Ovis aries: one gene and its partners. The protein of the gene in region 1 binds, or shares a complex with, the protein of each later gene. Links are inferred from orthologs where the notes say so. Each region holds a gene or a part of one and is shown in the gene's direction. Other genes may lie near its edges. The genes, in order: KEAP1, NFE2L2, FBXL17 and PTMA.

Evidence for each region.
Region 2: the proteins of KEAP1 (region 1) and NFE2L2 are in contact, whole or in part, in a crystal structure (PDB 3WN7), measured with the Mus musculus proteins. The link is inferred for Ovis aries from reciprocal best matches to the Homo sapiens genes KEAP1 and NFE2L2. Residues at the interface, in NP_001103775.1 of Mus musculus: Tyr334, Ser363, Gly364, Arg380, Asn382, Pro384, Asp385, Gly386, Asn387, Asn414, Arg415, Ser431, Gly433, Cys434, His436, Ile461, Phe478, Gly480, Arg483, Ser508, Gly509, Tyr525, Gln530, Ser555, Ala556, Tyr572, Phe577, Ser602, Gly603; in NP_035032.1 of Mus musculus: Leu19, Ile22, Leu23, Arg25, Gln26, Asp27, Ile28, Asp29, Leu30, Gly31, Val32, Val36, Phe37, Phe39.
Region 3: the proteins of KEAP1 (region 1) and FBXL17 are in contact, whole or in part, in a crystal structure (PDB 6W66), measured with the Homo sapiens proteins. The link is inferred for Ovis aries from reciprocal best matches to the Homo sapiens genes KEAP1 and FBXL17. Residues at the interface, in NP_036421.2 of Homo sapiens: His59, Thr60, Ala63, Ile66, Met67, Glu69, Leu70, Gln75, Leu76, Gln82, Lys84, Ala90, His96, Val98, Ala101, Ser102, Ser103, Ser104, Pro105, Val106, Lys108, Ala109, Met110, Thr112, Asn113, Gly114, Val122, Ser124, Glu126, Gln163; in NP_001156787.2 of Homo sapiens: Asp395, Arg397, Arg421, Lys423, Asn447, Gln473, Tyr475, Met524, Arg548, Asn572, Cys574, Leu575, Trp577, Glu596, Tyr598, Val600, Ser601, Asp623, Trp626, Lys628, Tyr647, Met651, Arg652, Val676, Leu677, Asp679, Cys680, Thr683, Leu684, Arg686.
Region 4: the proteins of KEAP1 (region 1) and PTMA are in contact, whole or in part, in a crystal structure (PDB 2Z32), measured with the Mus musculus proteins. The link is inferred for Ovis aries from reciprocal best matches to the Homo sapiens genes KEAP1 and PTMA. Residues at the interface, in NP_001103775.1 of Mus musculus: Tyr334, Ser363, Arg380, Asn382, Arg415, Phe478, Arg483, Ser508, Gly509, Tyr525, Gln530, Ser555, Ala556, Tyr572, Gly574, Phe577, Ser602; in NP_032998.1 of Mus musculus: Gln40, Asn41, Glu42, Glu43, Asn44, Gly45, Glu46, Gln47.

What each region holds. Positions count from the first base shown.
Region 1 is NC_056058.1:12,864,336-12,867,896, reverse strand, and holds part of KEAP1 (kelch-like ECH-associated protein 1), read left to right. Parts: coding exon 1-27; intron 28-3,203; coding exon 3,204-3,561. UniProt on the Homo sapiens protein: Substrate-specific adapter of a BCR (BTB-CUL3-RBX1) E3 ubiquitin ligase complex that regulates the response to oxidative stress by targeting NFE2L2/NRF2 for ubiquitination.
Region 2 is NC_056055.1:132,851,697-132,856,057, forward strand, and holds the start of NFE2L2 (nuclear factor erythroid 2-related factor 2), read left to right. Parts: upstream 1-1,539; 5' UTR 1,540-1,687; coding exon 1,688-1,732; exon of another isoform or gene 1,733-2,082; intron 2,083-2,217; exon of another isoform or gene 2,218-2,455; intron 2,456-2,872; exon of another isoform or gene 2,873-2,902; intron 2,903-4,361.
Region 3 is NC_056058.1:104,988,339-104,992,438, reverse strand, and holds the start of FBXL17 (F-box/LRR-repeat protein 17), read left to right. Parts: upstream 1-1,257; 5' UTR 1,258-1,575; coding exon 1,576-2,481; intron 2,482-2,595; exon of another isoform or gene 2,596-2,692; intron 2,693-2,847; exon of another isoform or gene 2,848-3,054; intron 3,055-4,100. UniProt on the Homo sapiens protein: Substrate-recognition component of the SCF(FBXL17) E3 ubiquitin ligase complex, a key component of a quality control pathway required to ensure functional dimerization of BTB domain-containing proteins (dimerization quality control, DQC).
Region 4 is NC_056055.1:233,412,049-233,414,696, forward strand, and holds the end of PTMA (prothymosin alpha), read left to right. Parts: intron 1-112; coding exon 113-184; intron 185-452; coding exon 453-549; intron 550-1,066; coding exon 1,067-1,140; intron 1,141-1,386; coding exon 1,387-1,434; 3' UTR 1,435-2,142; downstream 2,143-2,648.

The sequences.
Region 1 (3,561 bases):
GAATACATCTACATGCACTTTGGGGAGGTGAGTGAGGGATGGGGACATGGCACCAGGGCTTCAGAGCAGCCTTGGAGGGCCAGGAAACAGACAGGTGGTCATCACCATCTCCCCTTGAGAGGTGAAGGATCAAGGCAAGGAGATGGAGAAAAGTAGGGTTGAGCTCCCAGTCTAGATGTCTGTGACAAATCTAGGAAACAGCTGAAGAAAGTGAGACTGTCATGGATGTCTGGGCTCCCTGGGGTCAAAGGTGGGGACAGAGGGCAGTGACTCTGACAGCAGTTCCACCGTAGGCTGCCCTGAGCAGGGCCTGACGTTCCAGGCAGTCAGTAAATATTTATTGAACACCCGTGACATGCTGTCAATGGCCAGTGTGACCCTTACACTGTGGTGGTTTTCTTTAGTCCACAGAGTATTGTGCTCAGACTAATCTTTGTTTCATTTTCATTTTCAAGTGGAGGAAGTTGTGAGTAGAGAACATGAGTGCTTGTTGAGTACTTGGTGTGGGCCAGCCTCTGTTCTAAGTGATTTCCAGCCTTTAAATCTGAGTCTTCCCAGCTATCCTAGGAGGAGGTATGCTTTGGAGTGCCTTCCTGGATTTTTTTTTTTTGCTACACCACACAGCTTGCAGGATCTTAGTTCCCTGACCAGGGATGGAACCCTGGTCCTGGCAGTGAAAGCCCTGAGTCCCAACCACTGGACCACCAGGGAACTCCCCCCTTCTGGAAATTTTTAAAATCATCCTCCCGTGGCTGGGACCAGCTAGGTGGACACTACCCTTGGTCTCTGTGCCTCTCCTTCTCTACCATCTTGGGGGTTGACCAGATGCCCCAAGAAGCTCTGACATTAGTCTTAGGACTTATGGCTTCCAGGATGGTGGCCCAAGAACAGGGTTGTCCCACTGACCTGCACAACAGTAGTGTCAAGGGGTTGTCTCGGCTTGAGGTAACAGGAAGCTGGGATCCCGCTGATGTGGGGTGACAAATTATTTATATAGACCAGTGCCACATAAGAAATATTTACCTTAGCAATAACCCTGCTAGGAGTTAGCGACTAATATAATCCTCCTTTTATAGAGGAAGAAAACCAAGGCACGGAGTGTTTTAGGTTTTTGCCCAAGGTGGTACAATTAGAAGGTAGTGGGCCAACACTGCAACTCAGGCTGCTTTCTTCAAGCCTGAATTTTATTTTCTTTCTAACATACTGTGTTGCTATTTCCTTTGACGGAGAAGGCAATGGCACCCCAGTCCAGTATTCTTGCCTGGCAAATCCCATGGATGGAGGACCCTGGCAGGCTGCAGTCCATGGGGTCGCTGAGAGTTGGACACGACTCAGTGACTTCACTTTCACTTTTCACTTTCATGCATCGGAGAAGGAAATGGCAACCAACTCCAGTGTTCTTGCCTGGAGAACCCCAGGGACGGGGGAGCCTGGTGGGCTGCCGTCTATGGGGTCTCACAGAGTCAGACACGACTGAAGTGATTTAGCAGCAGCAGCATTTCCTTTGAAGTCAGTCTGCTCTTTTGAAAAAATAATTTCATTAAAAAAAGAAAGGGGCAACATTCTTACAGTTCAGATACAAAATGATACAGAATCTAAGAGGTGACGTTGTTTCTTTTTCTCATTTATGTGCTTACCTGCTATGTGCCTGGCATGTAGTGTTAACTCCTTGAATTCTCACACACTGAGAGTTCCGTGCTATTCAAATGCCTGTTTCTTTTCTTTAAATTTTATTTCTTTGTGGCTGTGCTGGGTCTTCGTTGCTGCTCATAGGCTTTCTCTAGTTGCAGTGAGCAGGGCCTTTTCTCTAATTGCGCTGTGCAGGCTCCTCAGTGCAGTGGCTTCTCTTGTGGAGCACGGGCTCTAGAGCAAGAGCTCAAGATTACGGCACATGGGCTTAGTTGCCCCAAGGCATGCGGTATCTTCCCCGTCTAGGGATCAAACCTGTGTCCCCTGCATTGGCAGGTGGATTCTTAATCACTGGACCACCAGGGAAGTCCCTCAAATGCCTATTTCACACCTGAGGAAGCTGAGTTAGCAGAGGCAGATTGAGTGTCTTGTCCAAGGTCCTGGCAGGGGCTTGGCAAGGGGCTGGGGGGTATGTGTCGGGGTCCAGCCCCAGCAGGATCCGGGGTTCCCTCAGGATGGACGGCATTGGAGAGAGAGAGAGAGAGAGAGACGGGGAAACCAAGCTTAGGTGGAACAGGTCTGTAACTTTATTTTTAAAAAGAGCTTTCATACCTTGGGTTGTACATAGAGGGGGATGGAAGATGCAGAGTCATGCAGGGTCAGCAGTTCTGACCCTTATTGAAACCAGGCTTTCTTTCTGCATACCTTTCTATATACAAAGGTCTTATGTGATTTACATCCTCTTCTGGCCTGGAGGCCTGTTAACATTTTATGACCCTTTTTTCTGATAAAGGTTAGTCAACTAGAAAACTTATTTTCTCTAAAAGTGTTTGTTCTAAAGTCCGGCACCACTCTCAGAAAGTACTAAATAAAGTTACATTCCTATGGGACAAAGGTGCAGTGGGTTATAACAAAGAAAAAATTTATTAACTCAAAGGTCTAATGTTGCTAACACCAAGGCTACTACTTATTTTCCCTACATACCAACTATATTAACTAGTATACTCCCAGGCACACAATGGGTAAGGGATATGGAAACTTGGCAGCAAGCACTGGCTCAACAATGAAATCCTTCACCAGCACTATTCTAATAATTTTTGCTCCTCAAAGGGCTCTATGCCTATTAGGACTTTAGAATGTTTAAGTTCCCCTGCCTTTCATGGTTGGGAAATTGTGAACAATCATGTATGTGCGTTAGTTTTAAGAGTATGGATAAACCTGCCACGCAAGTTAGAATGCTAACAGAGAGGTTTGAATTGAAATATTCCTTTCATGCCCAGGAGACTTATCAACTAGAGCCCTAAGTTGATTTTCTCCAGAGAAAGGTGGTCGGGGATAGCCCCTGTTAATGCCAGACGAGTAAGTGAAAGGCATAATATAGTAAACGGTAGACAGATTTTGTTATCTGGGTAGATGCTCGAGCAGGTCCAAGGAGTCCCTCGAGTCCTGATCCTCCTTGCCTGTCAGGTCTCTCCTCATGACCTTGTCATGGGTGGGATCTCCTGTGCTGGCTCCTGGCAGGTGGGAGTGGAGAGAGACCTTAAGTCAGCCCATGGCACTGTCGCCCTCTGCAGGTGGCCAAGCAAGAGGAATTCTTCAACCTGTCCCACTGCCAGCTGGCAACCCTCATCAGCCGGGATGACCTGAATGTGCGTTGCGAGTCTGAGGTCTTCCACGCCTGCATCAACTGGGTCAAGTATGACTGCGAGCAGCGGCGCTTCTACGTGCAGGCGCTGCTGCGGGCTGTGCGCTGCCACTCGCTCACGCCCCACTTCCTGCAGATGCAGCTGCAGAAGTGTGAGATCCTGCAGTCGGACTCCCGCTGCAAGGACTACCTGGTGAAGATCTTCCAGGAGCTCACCCTGCACAAGCCCACGCAGGTGATGCCCTGCCGGGCGCCCAAGGTGGGCCGCCTCATCTACACGGCCGGTG
Region 2 (4,361 bases), on another chromosome or scaffold:
CTGAGCTTGTTGTTAGTGTGCAGATCATTTTGCAGCCTTCTCACTTAACAGCTGAAAGTTTAATTCAAATTGAAGAAACTTACTTCAATTACAGGCAATTAATTTAGGCTTCACTTACCTTAAGAAATATTCCAACATATAAATCAACAGGTAAGTCCTGGGAGGGTCAAATTACGCAACCAAGAGAAAGTAAGTTCTTTGCAGCTTTGGGGGCGTTGGTCTGCTGTAGTCAGGCTTTTATGGTTTTCTTTTTCTTTTTTTGGCGTCAGGTTTTTGAATGAAATAGTAAAACCAGTGCCAGACACTGTCTACTCCACCTGGTTTTGCATAATTCGAAGAAGTGATAAACTGAAAATCAGGCTTGTTAAAGAGCTAGAAAGAGTGCTGTTGCATAAGAGAAAACAAAACTAAACCATTTCTCTATTCTTTTTTAAATCATAAGATTTCACAATATTCCTGTTTTCAAGTACTTGAAGTTTGCTCTGGGCACTGACTACTTTTTAAATAATTGTTTTTAAGGTGCAGTGAATAATACACATTTATCGTAGATTTAAAACATACTTAAAGTAACAAAGAGATAAAAATCATTCAAGGTCCTGCAACTATTAATATTACTAGTAATATTTTGAAGAACTTTTTTTTTTCTAGGTACATGCTTTCACAGAACGGGTCCATACTACACAGTTTTATAACTTGTTTTTTGCGTTTTTGTTTTTAAAATCGTATCTTGAGTACGTGAAAACTTCTAGAGGTTATGACACGTTTGTAATATCGAACAGGGTTAAAAATCGCCATCTATGGTGTGGCGTGTGCACTCTGGTGGGAAGAGAATGCTCCGGATGGGCAAGCTCGACCACTCTCCGATCCAAAGAGACTTCTCCATTCGCCCTCGGGGACTGAAGCCTGGCCAGAGTGCAAGGCGTGGGAGTAAGTGGAGGGCGATCAGGGTGACCGAGCACGAGCTCCCCGCGCGGTCCACTCTTCCCCCGGGCCAGTCTCACTGGCTGAGCCGGAGCGAGAGGGCAGCTCGCCGTGAGCTGGGCCCAGGTCCCGGCTTCCGGCCCCCACCCCCCGGGCTGGCGCCACTCTCGGGCGGTGGGGAGAGAGAAAGCCGGGCAAGGTTCTGCAAATCCAAAGCAGGGAGGCGCAGCTCCGATACCATCGCCTTTGCCGAGTCTCCAAGCATGTTTGTTTCAACTGTTTAAACTGTTTCAAAGCACCCGAACCCCAGCGACCTTCGGCAAACAACTCAATCCCACGGGCGGGGAGCGATGGCCGTATTCGCTAGAAGGGCAAACTGACAGCGGAGGCAGGCGAGCTTCGGGGGCCTTCCTCCGGCACTCTGCCTGCCCGCAGCCGCCCCTGAGACCCCCGCCCGCAACTCTTTCCCGCCCCAGGACGGCCAGCTTCTTGCGTCAGCCCGGCGAGGGTGGGGGATTTTCGGAAGGTCGGCCCGGGCGGCTGGCTGGGGAAGGAAGGGCCTTGGGCTCTCGCCCCGCCCTCGCGGGGCGGGAGGCGGAGCGGGACAAGAGCCCGATCGGCGACTCCGGCCAAGTCAGGGAGAAGCGAGTTCCTAGGATCCCCCAGGAGCCGCCGCCGCCACCAGTACCGCCGTGTCCGCTCCAAGCCTCGGCAGCCGGAACAGGGCCGCCGTCGGGGAGCCTCAAAGCACCGTCCCCAGCTCAGCATGATGGACTTGGAGCTGCCCCCGCCGGGACTGCCGTCCCAGCAGGTGGTGCCAGGACGGGAGCAGGGGCGCGAGGGAGCCGCGGCCCGGGAGGGACAGCCGCATCGGCCTCTTTCCCCGTCTGTGGCCGGAGCGGACTGCAGCTGCCGCGCACACACCAGAGCCGCCGCGCTTGAGCTGGGGCCGGGGGAGGGGAGTGGCGACCCCAAGGGCTGCGAGGGGTATGGGGGCGCGGGGAATGGTGTGACTGACAACGCGCCCGCAGCCCCCGAGGGCGGTAGGGTTGGGGTTGGGGGGCTACGCCAGCGCGCGTGGGGGCGAAGTGCGTCTCTAACCGCGTCCCCGGTCGCCGGAGCCGAGATGCTGGAGCCGCGGCCGGCCCCCTCTCCGAGTTTGAGCGGCCGGGAGGCAACCGGGTAGGAGAGGGCGGACACTGGCGGTCTGAGCCGGCGCGGCCCGGCCCTTCCGGGGCTGCGCGGCTCCCCCGCCTCGGAGCCGGCAAAAATGTGCCTAGTCACGGGGCCACTCTCGGGGGAACTGAGGTCTCCGGGCTGGGACCCGGAACCCCTCCTCTGCCGCTGCTCCTCTGCTCAAGACCTCCGCGGGCGCGAGCCGCGGCGCTCTTACCCTGCTGAGGGTTCTCTTAGGCAGAGTGATCAATCACTCCAGCCTTGCGATCGCCCTGAGGCCGCTTGGCGAAAATGCCCAGCTCCCAGGGTGGGGGCAGGAGGAGGTCACCAAGCGCCCAGCGCACTCGGTTTCCCCGACGTACGGCGATCGAACCCTGCCCTGCGCGCCGCCTCGCCCCGAGGGAAGGGTTCGGGCTCTTAGAACTCTGAGTCGGCCCCTAGCAATACGCCGGCAAGGGCGGGTGGGGCGGTGGACTCTGAAGTCCGACGGGCCTTCGCCCCCCACCCCACCCCAGCTCCCCGGGGCTTCTCGATCCCGGCGCTGTGCTTCCCGGTGGCGCACGCCGCGAGCGTCGTCCCGGCGCCGTGACAGTGGCCGGTTGGCTGTCACGGCGGCCCTCAGTGGGCCCTTTCCTGCTTTGTAGCGTGCAAACCTTGCCGCGCCGGGGCCAAGGGACAAGTTGGAGCTGTTGATCTGTTGCGCAATTGTTATTTTCCCTAGGGCGGCTTTGTCTTTGGATTTAGCGTTTCGGAATTGCAATTCCAAAATGTGTAAGGCAGGATATTCTGTTCTCTGCTGTCAAGGGTAAGAATTTCGAGTGTAGATTAGCATTTCTGTTGTTTTTAGGCTGTTACTAAATGTTGCGCTTTCATACATTGTTTCTCTTTTGGGTGCTTTATGTAGTTTTCCTTTTCTGTTTGAGAATTTGCCTCAATTGCTTTCCTAGTATGTTGCTTTTGAGAGGGCAGAGGGTGGGACAGCTGTGTCTCATAAAACTTCGCTAACAAGTTCTGTAAATGTCGCAAATGTGGGAACAAGTTTCTGTGTATATTTTGTAGGGACTTTTTAAAGGAGTAGATAGTTTTATTTCCAATTTGTGCGTGTGAATGCGTTTTTTGGAAAAATATTTAGTTCAAGGAAATGTGTAACCTAATAGGAACGGTAAATATATTTAAGCTCTTAAACATCAAGCTTTAGACTAATCCTGAAGTAAGGTTTTGATATATTGACAATGTAGTGATTGTGCCTTTTTTTTCCCTTGGAAGCTGTTGTCTTGAACTTTCCCCCAGTAGTGATTAAGACTGTGTTCCTTCCTCCCCACGATATGAAGAAATAAATTGTGCTTTCCGATTCAGCTGCTGTTCAGTCCCTATAGCCATTTCTTTAATAATCTATATGACCAAAGGATATATGATGCTAATGGACTCTAGTTTTCCCAGATTCAGGAATGTAGCCTAGAGGGGTATATTACTGAAGTTTTTATTTCTTTCTTAACTATATAATTTACCATTCCATATACAAAAGTGGGTAAACATCTTTACTGCTTTTTCTTTTAAATGTGAACTTTCCAATTATGTTTGTTAAGGTAACTCCCTTTCCACCCTTTGTAATCAGACCTCAGTTTGCATATGCGAAGAGTATAAAAGAAAATGGAATAAAATTTAGAGTTAATGTCATGCCTGTAACTAAGATTCATATTAAATCTTTGTAGTCCAGGAAGATTTGGACAGAGTCATAAGTGGATTCTAACCTCTTGTCAAAGAAACACCAGGCAGGAGGTGGTACGGGGGTAAAAGTTCTTCCCCCTTTGTGCAAAGGAGGTGTTGATGAAGAGCAGTAGAGTTTTACATTCTGAATTTCCATTAGCTTCTGGAAGGAATCATCTACCCTTTTCAAAGCTGTCTTGGAGAAAGTATTTTTGCATATGAGGAATGAAGTTGATCTTGGACTAGGTAGGTAACTTCCAAAGAAAAATAAGGCCTCCCTCTCATCTCCAGAAGGTTGAGCAAAGAACAACTTGACTTTTTAGATATTTGGAAAAAAACCTCTTGAGAGATTGTGAAAGATTGTAGTAGGATAAAAACGTAACTCACATCAGTCTGCATTAAAAGTAGCATGGGCCATTTTGGACTCTTTCTTGTCAACTTGGGTTTTTATAAACAGTGCTGGGAGGGGAAACCCCAAAATCTGACTTTCTTTAGGATAATCAGGAAGAATTGAAAGCTAAATACACGAATTTTACTTACAGAGCTACATGAGAAAA
Region 3 (4,100 bases), about 92 Mb from region 1:
AAATTAAAAGACATTTGCTCCTTTGAAGAAAAGCTATGACCAACCTAGACAGCATATTAAAAAACAGAGCCATCACTTTGCCAACAAAGGTCCGTCTAGACAAAGCTATGGTTTTTCCAGTAGTCATGTATGAATGTGCGAGTTGGACCATAAAGAAAGCTGAGCACCGAAGAATTGATGCTTTTGAACTGTGGTGTTGAAGACTCTTGAGAGTCCCTTGGATTGCAAGGAGATCTAACGAGTCAATCCTAAAGGAAATCAGTCCTGAATATTCATCGGAAGGACTGGTGTTGAAGCTGAAAGTCTAATACTTTGGCCACCTGAGTGAAGAAGTGACTCACTGGAAAATAACCTGATGCTGGGAAAGACTGAAGGTGGGAGGAGAAGGGGACGACAGAGGATGAGATGGTTGGATGGCATCACCGACTCAATGGACATGGGTTTAGGTGAACTCGGGGAGCTGGTGATGGACAGGGAGGCCTGGTGTGCTGCGGTTTATGCGGTCGCAAAGAGTCGGACACGACTGAGCGACTGAATTGAAATTACCTGATAAGTGCGTTTATCCTGAAATGCACTTAGGGAAAGCCGGTCCGTCCCTAGCAACAGGTGTCCGCAGACAAGCGCAGAAACACGGCAGAGCCGGTCCACCCGTGAGTCCCTCGCGGGAGAACCATTCTCGCGGAGAGCACGCCGGGCACCCGGGCTGGCCTCGGGCGGGACCGGGTCTCCTCAGCGGCCTCGGCGTCCGGTCGGGCGGTGAGAGCGCCGGTTCCCGGCCAATGGCGGTTCCCGAACGTGCGCCTAGCGACGTCAGCGCGACTGTGCCCACGGACGTCACCCGACGAGCTCGGAGGCGGCTCCCCCCGGTCCCACGAAGGGGGCGTGGGCTCCGGGAGACCGCGGGCGACGGGGACAGGGGGCGGTGAGCCCGCACCCGTGACGGCGGGCCCGGCCGAGCGGCCCTCAGGGGGCGAGCGGCCACGCGCGCCGCCGAGGCCCCGCCCCCTTCCCGATCGGCCACACCCCCTTCCCGAGCGGGCCGCGCGCTCCCGAGCCGCCCCCCCGCCGCTGAGGCCCCGCTCCCTCCCCGATCCGGCCGCGCGCTCCCGCTTCGCCTCCCCGCACGCGCCTCCGCCGCGGCCCCGCCCCTTCCCGCTCGGGCCGCGCGCTCCCGCTCCGCCTCCCCGCGCGCGCCTCCGCCGCGGCCCCGCCCCCTTCCCGCTCGGGCCGCGCGCTCCCGGCGCGCCGAGCTGTGCCGCGGGCGCGCGCGCCGCCGCCGGCAGAGCCGCCGTTAAAGTGGTCTGAGGCGCGCCCCGCGCTTCCCCCGCCGCCGCCCTGACCAACTGAGGCGGCGGCCCAGGCTGCGAGCAGCCGCGCGGTCAGCAGGCTCGCCGGCCTCCGTCGGGTCCCAAGAGCTCGCGCCCCGCCGTGGTCTCCCGGCGTCCCGGGGCAGAGCATGTAGCCCCCCAGCGCCGCGTGTGTGCCCGTGTGTGTGTGTGCCCGCGTGTGCCCGCGGGCCCGAGGCCGACCCCCGCGCGGCCTGCCCTGACCCGGCCCCTGCGCGGGGCCTCCCCTATGGGCCTCCTGCTCTCGAAGGAGCCGCGCCGCCGCCCGCGCCAGAAGCGGCCCCGCTGCGGCAGCTGGTGGCGCCGCCGCCGCCGGCCTCTCCTCAGGTGGCCCCGCGGGGCCCCGGCCAAGGCGGCGGCGGCGCCCCGGGGCCGGGACTGCCTCTTCCGCGGGCCCTGCATGCTCTGCCTCGTCGTGCACGGCCCCGGCGCGCCCGCCCCCGCCGGCCCGGAGGAGGAGCCGCCGCTGTCGTCGCCGCGGCCGCTCGGGGCCTACGGCGCGGCCGCCTCCTCACAGCCCCCGGCGCGGCGCCGCGCGGGCCTGGCCGCTGAGGACGCCGCGCGCCGCCTTCTGCTCTCGGCCGCCGCCGCCGTCGCCGCGCCGCCCGCCCCCGGCCGCGGGGAGCTGGGGCCGGCCGCCGCCGCCGCCCGGGAGCGGCCGGCCCGGAGCCTCCTGTGGGCCCGCGCGGGGCCCGTGCGTCCGCCCGCGCCGCCCGCCGCCTCGCGGCTCTTCCGGGCGCCGCCGGCCGAGCCCCCTGCGCCCCCCGAGATGGTGTGCAAGCGGAAGGGGGCCGGGGTCCCCGCCTGCACCCCCTGTAAGCAGCCCCGCTGCGGCGGGGGCGCCTGCGGCGGAGGCGGCGGCGGCGGCGGGCCTGCGGGCGGCGGCCCCGAGCAGCACCCCCCGCCGCCGCTCCGCGCCCCGCGCTCCCCCGCCGCTCCGGGAGGGGCCCCCGCGGAGGCCGGCGGGGACGCGGTCCGAGCGGGGGGCGCCGCCCCCTCGGTCGCCCGGCAGCAGCAGCACGAGTGCGGCGACGCCGACTGTCCGGAGGGCCCCGATCCGCCGTGCGACTGCCACAGGGAGCCGCCCCCCGACGCCCCGGACATCAACCAGCTGCCGCCCTCCATCCTGCTTAAGGTGGGTCTGCGTGCCCCCCACCCCCCGCCGGGCCCGCTCGGGGGTTCTCTCTGCTGCACGCCCCGCGGGGGGGCCTCCCTGACACCCGGTTATTTCAGGTGCAGGGGCTTGGAGTCCGCTGAAGGTCCTTTTAATCGCTTGGGTCTGCTGCGCGTAATCCCGGTTCACCTAGGAGAGTCCCAAGCCCACTGTTGTAGAAACTGTAGGTTTTCTGTGAAAAAAAAAAAGAAAAAAAAAATTTTTTTTTTTTTAATCCCTTGAGCGGTTTGCACTTAACCGAGTAAAGACTTGTATATTAGTGTTGGAAAGTGTTCAGACAGTAATTTCAGATTTGATAACTGCTAGCTGATGTCAAAAAACAGTTACCTTTTATCTATCGAGCACTTGACCACGATGATCAGGCACAGTGCCAGAGCTTTATATACATAATATCTCACCGAATCCTTCAGTTGACGCCATGAAAGAAATATTGTTAACATCTTTACACAAGAAGAAACCGATGTATCAGCGCAAGTGCCTACAGTCGAAAGTCAGGCCGACGTGGTGTGTGTTCCTGTGGAGCTTACAGGCCAGCGGTGCTTCAAGGGGCTGAATGACTTGCCCAAGGTCACACACAGACAGATCTGCGGAGTTTAGGCCTGTCTGACTTGAAAACCCTTTTATTTATGCTATGTTCTATTATCTTAGGTAATGCAGACAGATTACCAGACGGTAAGGACAAGTGTATTTTTTGTTGGGGGGATACGTGTGTGGGGAAGAGGTAGATATCCCGTGGAAACCTGGTCCCACTTTCAGCTACCAAGTAAAATTTGCAGTTTTGTCAAGCAGCAGCAGCAGTGATGAATTTAAGTACGTGATACTTTGTAGTAAGTTAGTATTAAAAAGTTTCTTTTCCGTTCATTTTCTCTCCTCTCTCACCCCCACACTGCAGCTTTCTGGAGCTTATAAATATAAACCCCCTTTATCACTGTGGATGATATTTAAGACTAACTAGAAAAACCTAGATAAGAATTTGGCTAGTTTTATTGTTATTGAAGTAGCTGTCATCAATTATAATTTTTATTCTGAACAATATACTTTGATTGGACTTTTTGCATGTTTATAATCCTGTGTGCTTGGATTTGTTTTACTGTGATATTAATATTTTTGTAAATAATATAGCAAAGAACTGGGAAAGCTTAACTTTTCCACATGTCCAAGAGGATGAGATGGTTGGATGGCATCACCGACTCAATGGACTTGAGTCTGAGTGAACTCCGGTAGTTGGTGATGGACAGGGAGGCCTGGCGTGCTGTGGTTCATGGGGTCACAGAGTCAGACACGACTGAGCAACTGAACTGAAGTTGTTTACCTTTCAGTAGTGTATTTTTGAAGGAGTAATTACTGCCTCTGTATGTTCAGGCTGTGCATTTTAGGGCAGAGGGAATGTTCTTGAATCTTTTAACTTAGTGGACAACATGGACAAATGAAATATCCACAGATATTTGGCATAGAGGTTTGATTGCTGTCTTGTTATTTGGTAAGTAAGACTGTTTAAAAACAAAGTAAAAAGCAGATACTTCCCACTTTCTACCTAAACTGTCATTATTTCATGAGGTAGAGGACATTTTAATACAAAA
Region 4 (2,648 bases), on another chromosome or scaffold:
GTTACTTGGGACATCAGGATTGTCACTGAATCCCTCCTACCTGTAGGTTCGGGCCCCTTTGCCAGCCCTAGGCTACTCAGAAGACTTACTGGTTCCCTTTTCCTTTTTGAAGGACTTAAAGGAGAAGAAGGAAGTTGTGGAGGAGGCGGAGAATGGGAGAGAGGCACCTGCCAATGGGAATGCTGTGAGTGTCTGTTGTGGTCATGACCCACCCCCCCACTCCCGGCAGCTCCTGGCCTGGAGTTCTTACTTAAGACTTTGGGCTTAATCAAGGGTCGGGCGGGGGGCTGAGGCCTTAGCCAGTTCTGTATTGGGATCTCTGGCTGGAACTTCAGGGGGCATCTCTCCGGGGGTCTGTTCTGTAGAAGCCCAGGGTAGGGTCTGGAAGAAGTGATGTTGGGGGCAGAGTGATGTTCTGTCCTCATCAACAAGCTGCTCTGCTTTCTGTCGAGGAGAATGAGGAAAATGGGGAGCAGGAGGCTGACAACGAGGTAGACGAAGAAGAGGAGGAAGGTGGGGAGGAAGAGGAGGAGGAGGAGGAAGGTGATGGTGAGTAGCTTTGTTCCTCTAGTACCTTCTGGTCTTCCTAGCAGATGGGGAGGGACTGGGGTCTTCCTGGGGGGTGGCAGGTCCAAGGCACCACCTCCAACTGGGCTTATAGCCACAAAGCCAGCATCTTTCTCACTTTAGGCTAGTGACTGTGGGGCTGTGCCCCTAGCACCACACTCAACGCCCACTGGAGAGTGCCCTCCATGCCCTGATCAGTTGGTTGGTGGGGCTTCTCTGGTTTCGCTTGGGTCTTACCTCTGATGATAAGCTGCCCGTGATGGGCAGTGTGGGTGCAGTGACTGCCCAGCTTGTCAGGCAGCAGAGATGGCTCAGCGGCACTCAACCCTGGTTACTCTGTTGCTGGAGATTGCCCAAGGAGCTGCAGTTTTCCTGTCATCGTGTCCACCCCCCCACCCTACCTGTTGCTGCCTGCCACTGAGTGGGAGAGTCCCAGGACCCACTGTGCCCGGTTAGTTGAGGAAGGCAGAGTGGTTTACTTGGGCTTTGTTCTCACCAGGTGAGGAAGAGGACGGAGATGAAGATGAGGAGGCTGAGGCAGCTACGGGCAAACGGGCAGCTGAAGATGACGAGGTGGGTCTGGTCTGGCTTGAGTTGGGCCAGAGGGCTGGGATCTGAGACACTAACACTGGAGGGCTTGATGGGGCTTAAAAGTGGTCATAAGGTGCGGGGTGTGGTCCTTCTCCTCTTGAGCTGGAGTGGGAACAGGGGCCTATGGGACCGCGCATGCCTGGTTTTAGTTTGGCCCTTAGGAGCTCAGCCAGTGGGTGGGTGGGCCCAGGGGATTGGAAGAGACCTTGACAATCCTTCCCTTCCCAGGATGACGATGTGGATACCAAGAAGCAGAAGACTGATGAGGATGACTAGACAGCAAAAAAGGAAAAGTTAAACTTAAAAAAAAAAAAAAAAAGGCCGCCGTGACCTATTCACCCTCCACTTCCCGTCTCAGAATCTAAACGTGGTCACCTTCGAGTAGAGAGTCCCGCCCGCCCGCCCCTGGCGGGCAGCGCCACCCACAGACGACAGCGCTCTCCACCACCCAACCAAAACCACAACGTGAATTTGCAACAGGGGAGGAAAAAGAAAGAACCAAAACTTCCAAGGCCCTGCTTTTTTTCTTAAAGTACTTTAAAAAGGAAAATTTGTTTGTATTTTTTATTTACATTTTATATTTTTGTACATATTGTTAGGGGTCAGCCATTTTTAATGATCTCGGATGACCAAACCAGCCTTCGGAGCGTTCTCTGTCCTACTCTGACTTTACTTGTGGTGTGACCATGTTCATTATAATCTCAAAGGAGAAAAAAAACCTTGTAAAAAAAGCAAAAACAACAACAAAAAAAAACAATCTTATTCCGAGCATTCCAGTAACTTTTTTTGTGTATGTACTTAGCTGTACTATAAGTAGTTGGTTTGTATGAGATGGTTAAAAAGGCCAAAGATAAAAGGTTTCTTTTTTTTCCTTTTTTTGTCTATGAAGTTGCTGTTTATTTTTTTGGCCTGTTTGATGTATGTGTGAAACAATGTTGTCCAACAATAAACCGGAATTTTATTTTGCTGAGTTGTTCTAACAAAGCTGTCTCAGGCCTGGTTTTTCTGTATTGGTTTCTTTAGGCTTTCTCCAGAGGGGCAGGGGCAAGAAGAGGGGAGGATCTTGAACCTGCTGTCCTTCCTGGGGACAGTGGGTTGGAGACCTCAGTTGGGAGAGGTGTGCCCCTTGGCACCAGGGTCTGGTGGGTGGCCATCCTGTAGTCAAGTACTGAGCTGCAACTGGCTAATGGGGACATGATGGAGCACTATAGAGCTATGGGCTGAAGGGGGAGCCACTTACCAGCTTCATCCCTTCCTAGGATTGTAGTGAGAGCATCTACACTGAAATTGTTTAACCCAGTTTCATTAGAAATCTGCCGACACCTCTATAGGCTGGGGGAACAAGCTACATGCGGGGCTGCCCTCTGGATCCAGGAGGTGGGGTAGGGGGTTGTCCAGGCCCAAGTGAAAACTCAGGGCCAAAGATCCCAGAGATGCCACCTCCCTGTGGGACAGCTGCTAGCTGTGCCCTTCACCTCAAAGGCCTCACT